Oryctolagus cuniculus: one gene and its partners. The protein of the gene in region 2 interacts with the protein of the main gene of each other region in a biochemical or structural test. Links are inferred from orthologs where the notes say so. Each region holds a gene or a part of one and is shown on either strand. Other genes may lie near its edges.

What was found.
Region 1: the proteins of MPDZ (region 2) and HTR2C form a complex in vitro, tested with the Homo sapiens proteins (3 studies listed by BioGRID and IntAct, with this or other methods). The link is inferred for Oryctolagus cuniculus from reciprocal best matches to the Homo sapiens genes MPDZ and HTR2C.
Region 3: the proteins of MPDZ (region 2) and CYSLTR2 interact in a test that uses a peptide from one of them, tested with the Homo sapiens proteins (2 studies listed by IntAct, with this or other methods). The link is inferred for Oryctolagus cuniculus from reciprocal best matches to the Homo sapiens genes MPDZ and CYSLTR2.

Annotation. Positions count from the first base shown.
Region 1 is NC_091453.1:78,910,764-78,914,514, forward strand, and holds the start of HTR2C (5-hydroxytryptamine receptor 2C), read right to left. Parts: upstream 2,743-3,751; 5' UTR 2,156-2,742; intron 1-2,155. UniProt on the Homo sapiens protein: G-protein coupled receptor for 5-hydroxytryptamine (serotonin).
Region 2 is NC_091432.1:175,939,898-175,943,548, reverse strand, and holds part of MPDZ (multiple PDZ domain protein), read left to right. Parts: coding exon 1-96; intron 97-2,320; coding exon 2,321-2,466; intron 2,467-3,140; coding exon 3,141-3,224; intron 3,225-3,370; coding exon 3,371-3,564; intron 3,565-3,651. UniProt on the Homo sapiens protein: Member of the NMDAR signaling complex that may play a role in control of AMPAR potentiation and synaptic plasticity in excitatory synapses. Promotes clustering of HT2RC at the cell surface.
Region 3 is NC_091440.1:67,983,507-67,987,257, reverse strand, and holds the start of CYSLTR2 (cysteinyl leukotriene receptor 2), read right to left. Parts: upstream 2,624-3,751; 5' UTR 2,493-2,623; intron 1-2,492. UniProt on the Homo sapiens protein: Receptor for cysteinyl leukotrienes. The response is mediated via a G-protein that activates a phosphatidylinositol-calcium second messenger system.

The sequences.
Region 1 (3,751 bases), on a different chromosome or scaffold from region 2:
TGTGTGTGTGTGTATATATATATATATATCCTGGATCCACGCCTTGCAAAAATATCAACTCTCACCTTTCTTCCCATGAATTCATACTATACCAAAGCCTGTTATGTATCTGAAAAAGTTATCATATGATCCATGACAATTTTAGATGGAGATAAATCTCAAGAAACTATGGGAAGGGTTAATAACCTTTCTGGATTATGCAGATAGAAAATCACTGTGAGTGTTGGTTTAAGCATCCCAAATCCTACCTTGACATTGCAACCACAAGCCTTATCCACCTTCTGATGTCAGGACTCACATTGGGCTTGTTGCCGTAGATAGAAGCTATTAGGAAAGAAATCATTTGGATGAAATACATATTTCCTTCCCTCCCCAGGAGGATCAGAAGAACATATTTATAGAGTGAAAAACGTAATTAAATATCTTATAACCTACTTCCCTCCGATACAGGAAAAATGAATTCCCATGGGGCCGAGGGAGGGGATTGGAGTGGGAGATGGAGTTCTGTAGATGATTCCTAAACAGCAAGGTGCCAAGGCAATTATACTCTTCTGAAAGGACAATATTCCGTGTGATTTAAATACTGCAAAAGCGGCACAATGATCATGGTAGAAATAATTTTCTGTGGGATGTGTGGGTTGGCCTTTTTCATGGTCTACATACACGTAGTGAACTACAGTAACACGATTTCTACTGCATTCATATTTTCATTTGTCAGAATGGGTGATGACATATAGGAAAATTTCATAATGAAAAATTGAAACTCTGGAACCCAAATGTCTTTTTGCACCACTGTGTATGTGAGGACACAATTGTTGGCCACTCGAGGAGCTCAGAGATTACTCACTGCTCACCGTCTCCCCCACCAGCCCAGTCATTTTAGTCCAGTTCTATTCCTCCCTGGAGAGTCTCCCTGGGTTAGCCTGTCTAAAAGGTATGTGGTAAGGGGCATATGCACTTAAGAGGCTCAGCAATAGGAGGCTTCCTTGGATGGGACTTGTACTGGTAAATATTAATGAAGAAACTATCCTGTACTGGCAGTGATTCTCGACCAAATTAGATCTCTTCTAACTGCCGGATGTCGCAAGCTGAATTTGAGTTGGGGAGCGCTGTCGCCTAAAATAAAGGGGTCTAGAACACGATGCAAAGTGCTTGTCACCTCAGGTCGCATACTACCAACAGTAAGCAAAGGGCAAAGGGCACGGCGCAGAAAAGAAGCAGACACAAAGACAGGTTTTTCAATGACGAACTTTATGTGGCATCAGGAACGGCAACCTGTTCTCACGTTTAGCAATTCCGATGGACGCTGTTAAGACTGCTTGTCAGGTTAACCTGAATAACGGGACTGGAATAAGAGGCAGCGCTGGAGACTTTTCCGTAATCCTTTTCAAAACACAAAACTGTCACCAAATGACTTAGGTAAGCTAATAATAAAAAGGCTGCTTGGATGCCTTATTTATACTCTCCTTTTAAACTTACGTGACCATCAGCAGCAGCACTGTTCACATTCAGCCAACAGCTGTTAACACAAGACACAGATCCGCAGTATCTATCTCCCCAGGGTAACGGGTGCTCACTGAGACCCGCCGAAAATCAGGGTCGATTATCAATGAGAATATAAAAAAGGATCCTCCCCCACCACCACCACCTTGCTCCCACTGTCCCAAGCCCTACTTCCTGTTCCACTTGCCCGCAATCCAATTGCTTAAGAACGTAGTGTGTACCCCAACCCAGCTGCACCTTCCGCAGCCCAACCCTTTGCCCAGCGACACCCGCTTTCGGTCTCCCTCCTCTCTCTGCCCCTCCCTCACTTCTTGAGGCCCCCACCTCCGCCACCGCTACTCTCTCCGCTTCCTAGGCGCTGGGTTCTCCAGACCCTGCCTCCATCCAGACTTCAATCTCGAGTCCCAGCTCCCAATCTCCTTGGAGGCTCGGGTTCGCCTCCCGTGAAACCTAAGCTCTTCTCTCCTTCTAGAGACCCCAGTCTCCCCGCGATCTGCGCGTTCGGAGTCCCTCCCCACCCCCTTCACCCTCGCCCCGGTCAGTGCGGTCCTGCAGGCTGCAACCATCCGGGACTTGTCCCCGCTCCCCACTCCATCCCTGGCCTAAATCATTAAGGTCTTGGCTAGTAATGCAGCCCGGGGCTCCGACTTACCACTAGCGTCCGGGAGGAAGACCAGGCAGCGGTCGCCGCGGCGGCAGCTAGACGAGAAACGGACCCGGCTGCAATCGCCCAGCGGAGCCCGCGGCAGTCGGTGCGCTGCGCTGCGCTGCGCGCCGCAACCTCGCGCCTTGGCGGAGGCAGAGAAAGGGACGGAGGGAGCTCGGCGCGATGGGAAGCGCCGGCGAGTCAACCTCCTTGGGCGACCCTGCGCCCCCGGCTGGGTTTGGCTCCTCTAGTTCCACTATCTCACTCCAGCTTAGTAACTGACAACCTCCAGCATCTCTGCACTAATCGCGTCTTCTTTCTTCTTCGATGGCCCCTAACTAACTACACTACGCTAAACGGACGAAGACCATCACACGAGCACCACGACGATCTCGACGACTCCGACAATGGTGTGCAGAAAGAAGGAGGAAAAGTTCATATGTAATCGGCAGGTAAGAGGCAGACAGGCCAATGGAGTAGCCAAGGTTAGCAATCTGGCATCTCCAAAGGCAGGATCGGGAAGATCAGTGCACCCGAGGAAGGAAGCGTCCTCGCGAGCACCAGAGCGCCTACCCTGCGCTGGTGGAGCTGCACAGCGCTCTAGGGCCAAATGCGGGTTGAGGGGAGGAGCCAAGATCGACCAATCAGCGCTCAGTGTTACGCTGCCCCGGGCCTGTTTGGACCGGTCTCTCAGTGCATCTGGAGCCAACTGAAAGGGGGCGCGAGACCTCTTTGAGGGATGGTGATGGGGATCGCGATTAACTTGATTCATGAGGCCTGGAGACTGGGGGCAACCTGGGTCAACCACGGAACGGGATGTTGGGAATGGGAAGGTTTATTCAAGATTGTACCCTCAAATATTCAAAGAACATCTGTCTCTTTCTCTCTCTCCACACACACACACACACACACACCTGTACATTCCAGTTCGAAACACATGATTCCTAAGTCTTGCAAATTTCACCATGCTTTGAAACTCGAGGGTCTCTGCTAGTCTCCTGCGCCTTTCTCCACCTGTAGCAACTGAGGCAGTCACAGGATCACACATATCTAGTGTGCAAAGGCCACAACCCTGTTATCAGGTCTGCTTCCCCAGCCTTGCCCCCAAGCCCAAATGCAAAAGGAGAAAGGAAAGCCTTTGGCCTTTGTCATCTCCTAGAAGGCACAGTTTGATTCCCTTCTTGACCCCACAAGCCCCGCTTAAACGCTCAGAAAGACACCTTGAGGGTAGTTCCTTTGGGTTTCTGAGGGGACTGAATCTATCTGTCCTGTACAGAGCCCTGAGGCCCACAGTCAGGTGACTGCACAGCTGCCGTGAGGGCTGTCAAGACACAGTCAAGCCACGGTTAAGGCAGCAAGGAAAGAGGTGAGCCACGATAGCTTCCTTTGGCTACTGCCGGGATGCTAAGCTGCAACCCAGACAACAGAGCTCTTCACAGGCTCCCAGGCGCCACCTGGCAGGTGCCTCCGGTGTGCCAGCTGTAGCGCAGAAATGATCAGGCCACCTTGGCCAAGATGCCTCTGAGGCACCAAGACCAAGTTTATAGTGGAGATGCTCCCAACCGAGAAGGGCAGAGTAGATTTCGCCTAAGAGGGAATAGA
Region 2 (3,651 bases):
CTTCAGTAGCTGGTGCAGCCAACGGAGGAAAAAGGAGCAGCTCTCAGTCTCCAGTGGTGCCACAGTCGAGCTCTCCAGAACCAGAGCCCATTCGAAGTAAGGACTGGGCTCACGAGAGTCCTGTGTGTCTGGCATACTCAGCACAGGGAGCCTGCTGAGGGTCCAGCTGCCTGCCAGTGGCTGATTGTTTGAAAGGTGTAACAAGGGAGCCCTGTGGTGGGAGGCTGGTAGCAAGAGAGGGGCTCCTAAAGAAAGAGCACTGGATTGTAAAGTAGACGTCAGGGCATCTTACATTAACCCACCGTGGGACCTCAGGAAATCCACCTGTTCACTCTGAGCCTCAACTTCTCTGTTCTCCAAGAAACTTTTGCTGAGAGTACCAGTGATTTCAGATATTGAACTAGCAAATTGGAAATATCATTTTGGAGATACTGTATATATATGTATACATACACATATACTGAGACAGTAACTTAATTTCCCTAAGTCTCAGTTTTCTTATCTGTAGAATGGATATACAGTGATCCTTTTTCACAGATAGGATCAATATTACCTGCCACCACAAGAAACTCCTGAAAATTATAGCTGTTGACACTGAGTATGTTGTAGCAGTTTGAGTTCTGTGGTTTGAATGCAGTAGTAGACCTTGTGAAAGTAGATAAAATGGATGTCGTGGACCATGAGATGATAATTTAGTCTATCATTAAAATGCCCGTCTAGTATATGGAGGTAAATTATTCCTATAAGTTACTTTTTGACAAAAATCACACTGGTTTCTTATAAAACAATAAATTTCAACCTCTGCACCATCAAAAAAACAAAATTGCTCAAACACGTTGCCATTTTCTGCAAGTGTGGGGAAAAATTGGGCCTACAAACTGAAACATTCAGTTCTTTTGACATGGTTTTAAGGAAACACTAATTTAAAACATTTGTAGTATAGTTAGACAAAAATGGCTTAAAGAGATATATCTCTGATGAAAGTAATCCTTTATTTAGAAGGACTGAATAATTGACTGAAGTGTTAAAAGATTTTATGAAAATATTCTCATTTTTCAATTTTACATTGATCCCTAAATAGCATTGTCTATAAAAATATGAAATGCTATGTGAAAATTTTACATAAAACGAAATATCTTACACCTGTTCTTACCATTTCAGGAACAAGAAAATGGTCTGTTTCTGATTTCCTAAAAAGAGAACATCTTGTCCAAAGCATACGTTATTCTACCAAGTATAGCCATCCAGACTTTCCCCAAACATGCTATTGTTGTATCATAAAACAGGTGATACGATAAGAAGACTGTCATACAACAGGATGTGAAATTATATTATTCTTATTTTCTCATAGTCTGTTCTTTTTTGAGCATCTATGCACCAGGATTTGTTTATAAAAAAGCAAGGGAAATCCAAGGGTAAAGATGTAAATAGTGAGTATTTCCTTAGACTTGATCATGTGAGAAGAGATGCTCTAGGATAAGGGGGAAAAAAGGAAAGCATAAAAAGCCCTGAAAAGCAGGCAGTGGGACCAAAATTATTGATGTGCTTTGTGTTTTGTTATCTCCCTTGAATGTGCTTCTGTGTGTCTGCCACATGTCTCAGATCTGAGTTGTACAAATCTTGATTTCATAACAAGTGTGTTTTGCTGCAGTGAAGTATAGAATGTCAGAGTGAAACTGGAGGTTCTGTTCAACTTTCTGTTCTCCTTCCTTTACACTCTATCTTATATAGCAATTTAAAAATACAGAATAGTATAGAAAATAAACAGGTGATTTTGTACCAAAAACCTTAACAATGATTTAATAATATTTCTTTCAAAATATATTTATTTGTTTTTATTTATCAGTAGACAGACAAATACAGACCTAGACAGAACACCAGAGGGCTCTTACCCACTGATTCACTCCCCAAATGCCAGTAACAGCCAGGACTGAACCAGGTCAAAGCCAGGAGCTGGGAATGTCATTTGGGCCTCCCACATGGGTAGCAAGAACCCAAGTATTTGAGCTATCACTGCTGCCTTCCAGAGTGAGCATTAGTAGGAAGCTGGAGTTGAGAATGGAGCAAGGATTCAAACCCCCAGGTACCTCCAGGTAGGATGCAGGTACCCCAGATAGCGTCTTACCCACTGCCTCAAACACCCTGCCTTAATATAGTTTAATATAACTAGAAGAGCTGAGTAAATTTGCAATCTCCTTTTTCACTAGTCTGAACCCCTTTTCCTACTCCATCCCCCAAAAGCAACCTGTGCAGTGAGTTTAGCCCATATACCTTTTAATCAACATTTATTTGTATTTCATTTCTCTTTTAACTCATTTAGGTACAAGCAGGTCATCAACACCAGCGATCTTTGCTTCTGATCCTGCCACCTGCCCCATTATCCCTGGCTGTGAAACAACAATTGAGATTTCCAAAGGGCGAACAGGACTGGGCCTGAGCATTGTGGGCGGGTCAGACACACTGCTGGTGAGTGCCCACCCAGAGGTGCTCACTAGCTGGGCAACCCTTCAGCCAGGCCTCAGATACCTAGACTGAGGGGATGCCTTTCTGTCTGTTTTGTTATATTAAATATAAAGGCTGAGGAAAAAAATGTATTGCTCATTATTATTTTTAATTTATAGAGCAAATCCTTAATGGGGGTACTGGGATTTTTACTTAATTAAGTCAATACTGACTCAGTAAGATTTTGTTATACTTGTGAGTGTGACGTTTAGATTTTGAAATGTTTCTGTCAGCTCACCAGTGCTTTTGGTTTGGATTTCCTTTTTAATGGAATCCACACCACATTGGTCATGTGTTGAGAGGAATCTGAACAATTGGATGCTTTGTAGACAAAATTTTGTAAATGTCAAAAGGTAATGTAGCTCTATTATATGTAGGCATAGATAATTTATATATTTAAAATGTTTTCTAAATATCCCTACTGTTAGAAAAAAAAATGTACAAACTTTTCTGAGCCATTTAGCAGAAAGTGAGTTGTCAGACATTTCCTTAAATGATGTGAGGTTACCGGCAGGTGGATCCTGTAAAGATCAGGCCTGCTGGCTGTCTATAAAAGTCCCAGGTGTTTGGACTCCATTTCAACTCTGTATTGCTAGGGAGAATGGAATAAAGCATGGGTTGTTGTGTTTGGCTCCCAGGGTGCCATTATCATCCATGAAGTATATGAAGAAGGAGCGGCATGCAAAGATGGAAGACTCTGGGCTGGAGACCAGATATTAGAGGTACAATGCACTTCCTTGTGACCTTCAGAAATCACAGCAAAAAGGCCACTGGTTCTTTGTTGTTTCCTTCTCCCTCTTTTCCCTTCCTTTATTTGCCCTGTTTAACTCTCCTAGTTTCTCACTCTCAAGATCCCGTTTTGGTGCAGGTGAATGGGATTGACCTAAGAAAGGCCACACATGATGAAGCCATCAATGTCCTGCGACAGACGCCCCAAAGAGTGCGCCTGACACTCTACAGAGACGAGGCCCCCTACAAGGAGGAGGACGTGTGTGATGCCCTCACCGTGGAGCTACAGAAGAAACCCGGCAAAGGCCTGGGACTAAGTATTGTTGGGAAAAGGTGTGCCTAAGGATGATGAACCCAGTGACCTTGTGGGAATGAGTGATTACATTCTTGTAAGGGACTGATAGTGGAATTGTTGGCAAT
Region 3 (3,751 bases), on a different chromosome or scaffold from region 2:
GCAGGAAGCTGGAGTCAGGAGCCAGAGGCAGGAATCAGACCCAGCCACTCTGGTATGGGATGTGGGTATCTGAACTGCTACTCTAGGACAGTCTTTTCAACAAGTTGTGCTGAGAAAGTTGAATAGCCACAGTCATTGAACCTTCAACTAACACCATACATGAAAGGCACCCAAAATGAATAAAAACCTTAAAGATAAGAGCTTAAACTATAAAACTCCTGAGAGAAAACATAAGGGAAAACCTTCATGACACCAGATTTGATAATGATTTTTTAGTTATGGCACCAAAGGCACAGAGGAAAAAAAAAGAAAAGAAAAATTAGGCAGATTGAACTTGATCACAATTAAAAACATTTGTGCATCAAAATACTCCTAACAGGGTGGGCACTGTGGTTAAGCTACTGTTTGGGACATCTGCATACCATGTTAGCGTACAAGTTTCAGCCCAGGCTACTCTGCTTCCAGTCCAGCTTCCTGCCATTGCATCCTTGGAAGCAGCAGAAGATGGCACAAGTGACTGCCATTCACGTGGGAGACACAATTTGAATTCTGGACTCCCAGATTTGGCCTGGGCTAGCCCTAGCTGTTGCAGGCATTTGGGGAGTGGACCAAAGTGATGTGGGGTGAATAGGCAGGCAGTTAGATAGGTCCCCAAATGTAATTCTACCTCCTCCTTGTCAATCAAAACTCTCCCTTTCCCAGGATGCACCTACTCTATCTAGGATCTAAGGAGGTGGAGGGGGATGCCATGAAAATAAAATTCAAAGAAACAGTAAATGCAAAGAAAGATAAAATGCAAAGAAAAAATGAGATACCACTTTACACCCATTAAGATAGTTTTGATTTTAAAAACCAAAGCAGAATAGAAAATAACAAATGTTAAAAGAATGTGAAGGAACTAGAACTCTTGTGCCCTGCTGGTAGGAACATAAAATGGTGCAGTTGCTATGGAAAATGGTGTGTCAGTTTCCCAAAACATCAAAACAAAAATGGAAGTGCCATCATTACTCAGCCTTTCCACTTCTGAGAATATACTCAAAAGAATTGAAAGCAGGAACAAAAGCATGTTTGTACACCCACATTTAGAGCTGTATTGTTCACGACAGGCAAAGTGTGGAAGCAATGCAGTGCATACAATGGAATATTATTGTACCTTAAAAAGGAAGGAAATCCTGACACATGCTAGGATGTGGATAAACCTTGAAGACTTTGTGCTAATTGAAACGGTCAGTCACCAAATGACAAGTACTGTGAGGTCGCAGACTGGTCAAACTGATAGGGACACAAATAGAATGGTGCTTGCCAGGGGCTGGGGAGAGGCTTGTTAAAATAATTCATTACAGGGCTGGTGCTGTGGCATAGTGGGTAAAGCCGCTGCATCCAGTGCCAACATCCCACATGGGCACCAGTTCGAATCCTGGCTGCTCCATTTCCCATCCAGCTCTCTGCTATGGCCTGGGAAATCAGTAAAAGATGGCCCAAGACTTTGGACCCCTCCACCCATGTGGGAGACCTGGAAAAAGCACCTGGCTCCTGGCTTTGGATTGGCACGACTCCAGCCATTGCAGCCAATTGGGGAGTGAACCAGAGGATGGAAGACCTCTCTTCTCTGTAACTCTGACTTTCAAATAAATAAATAAAGTCTTTAAAAAAAATAATTCATTAGGTGGTCATTAGGCTGAGGCAGCCTACAGAGTCCTGGTCTCCCATGTGGGTAAACAGAAACTCAACCCAGTAAAACCTCCCCCCCCCCCCTTTTTTCCTCCGTCCTATTTGTTCTCAGTCTACTAACCTTTTTGCCCAGTTAACTTTCTATTCCAAGGATGAAAAAAGGCAGTGAGACAAGCGCCTAATAAAACGAGTCCCTCAGTTCACCCTGGCAGGCTTCTTAAACCGTCTTTATGCCTTGGTTGAGGAGGTCAGAATTCTCGTTGGAGCACATGATCGGGAATTCCCTGATTGTCACCACTTTATTCCCATGGTGCTGGGATACCGTGAAGCCCATGAGTGCATGGCTGAAGCCAACGGGAGGTCCCTGAGAAAAACAACGTAGAAGCTGGTAACATAAGATAAGACCTGGTAAGATTTGGGCTCTCCTGCCGAAAAGAGGACTAGAAATTTCACTTTGTTCTAAAAAAAAAGGGGGGGCGGGGCGTGACATTAACTTCAATATGCAATGACTTTGAACAGCCCTTTCTTGTCTCCACTGTTGAGGAACAGGTTTTGTTTTGTTTTATTTTGTTTTGTTTTCATGAAAATTGTTGAACTCTTAGTATAGAGTTGGTCTTCTATGTATAATGTTAATCGAAAATGGATTTTAGTGGAGAATGGGACTGGGAATGGGAGAGGGAGGAGGAGGTGGGGCGGGAGAGTGGGTGGGAGGGTGGGTATGGTGGGAAGAATCACTATGTTCCTAAAGTTGTACTTATGAAATACATGAAGCTTGTATTCCTTAAATAAAAAGTTTCTTTAGGGGATAAAATTTAACTTACCTGTGGTTGCAGTCCAGTTCATAAACACAGCTGCAGAAACCACGACAGAAACTTCCTGAAGCCCTCACGCGTAAAGTGCTGACTTCCTTCTTTTTGCAAGGAATTGTCACGTCCCATATCTTCAGGCTCTGAATGGACAAGAAATAGAATTGGCAGTACTTTTCCCATAACAGCGGTGGACGCCCAGCCAGTTCTGGTCAGTTTACAGAGACTGCATAGTGTTAACCACTTGGCCCTAAGAATAACATTTTGATGTCACATTGGCATAAAATCACACACTAATGTTATAGACATCTGAGGTGGGAAGACTCCCTTTGTTCAAACAGGCACCAGAGACAGTGGAGGATTGAAGTAGTTTATTACACCAGTGGGCTCAGCTGGAATAATTTCCCGAGAACTGAGCAACAATCCCAAGTTTTTTTTACAATATTTATAGGTTCATCAGCATCATTTAAATTGCAGCCTACATGGTGGGTTTAAATTGCAGCCTACAAGACTTAGAACCACATTTCCAATGGTTGGTGGGCCTGTTATGTTTGTAGAAGAGACACCAGGGGCAGATTTGTTAGGACAGATTTATGACTGGAGTTTACAGAAGTAGAACTGAGGACTCCTTCTCTCCCTAGACAAGATAGCAGTGGGCAGCTGCTTCACTAGTTAATTGTGAGCAGCCACTTTTCAAGGTCTGTGTTGGGATGCGGGGTCTGCTTCTCTTTCTTTGTCTCTGGTTGTGGCCGTATTTCCTCTATACTAGTATCTGTCCAGTCCCTGTGTTTGCACTTAAAATGTGTGGAATTGTATCTTACTTGCACCTGCTCAGTTATCTCTCGTTATACCAAGAGACTAAGTTACTAGAATGTCTGTGAATATACAAACTTCCCTCTTCTAACATTCTTGTGTTTGTCTTTCCAAGGGGGTGTACACATTTGTTCCAGATTGGCTTTTCCTCAATCTATAGATTGCTTCTCTTTAAAATAAGGCTCTCCTTTTCTGCCTTTCAATCTGAATAAGATTATTATTATTAAAGATCTAGCCACGGAATCTTCCTGGGGTGGATCAGAGGGGGCTAGGAAAACAGCAAATGACCTCTTTCTAAAAAGGTCCACCCCAAGGGAATTACTCAAGAAACTGACTGCTCTGTCTTCAATCTTCTAAACAACTAAGGAAACAGGATGAACCTGTTTGTTTACAAGGAAGATTACAGGTTTTATTTATAAAACATTCTGGTCTAGGGGCTGGCACTGTGGCATAGCAGGTAA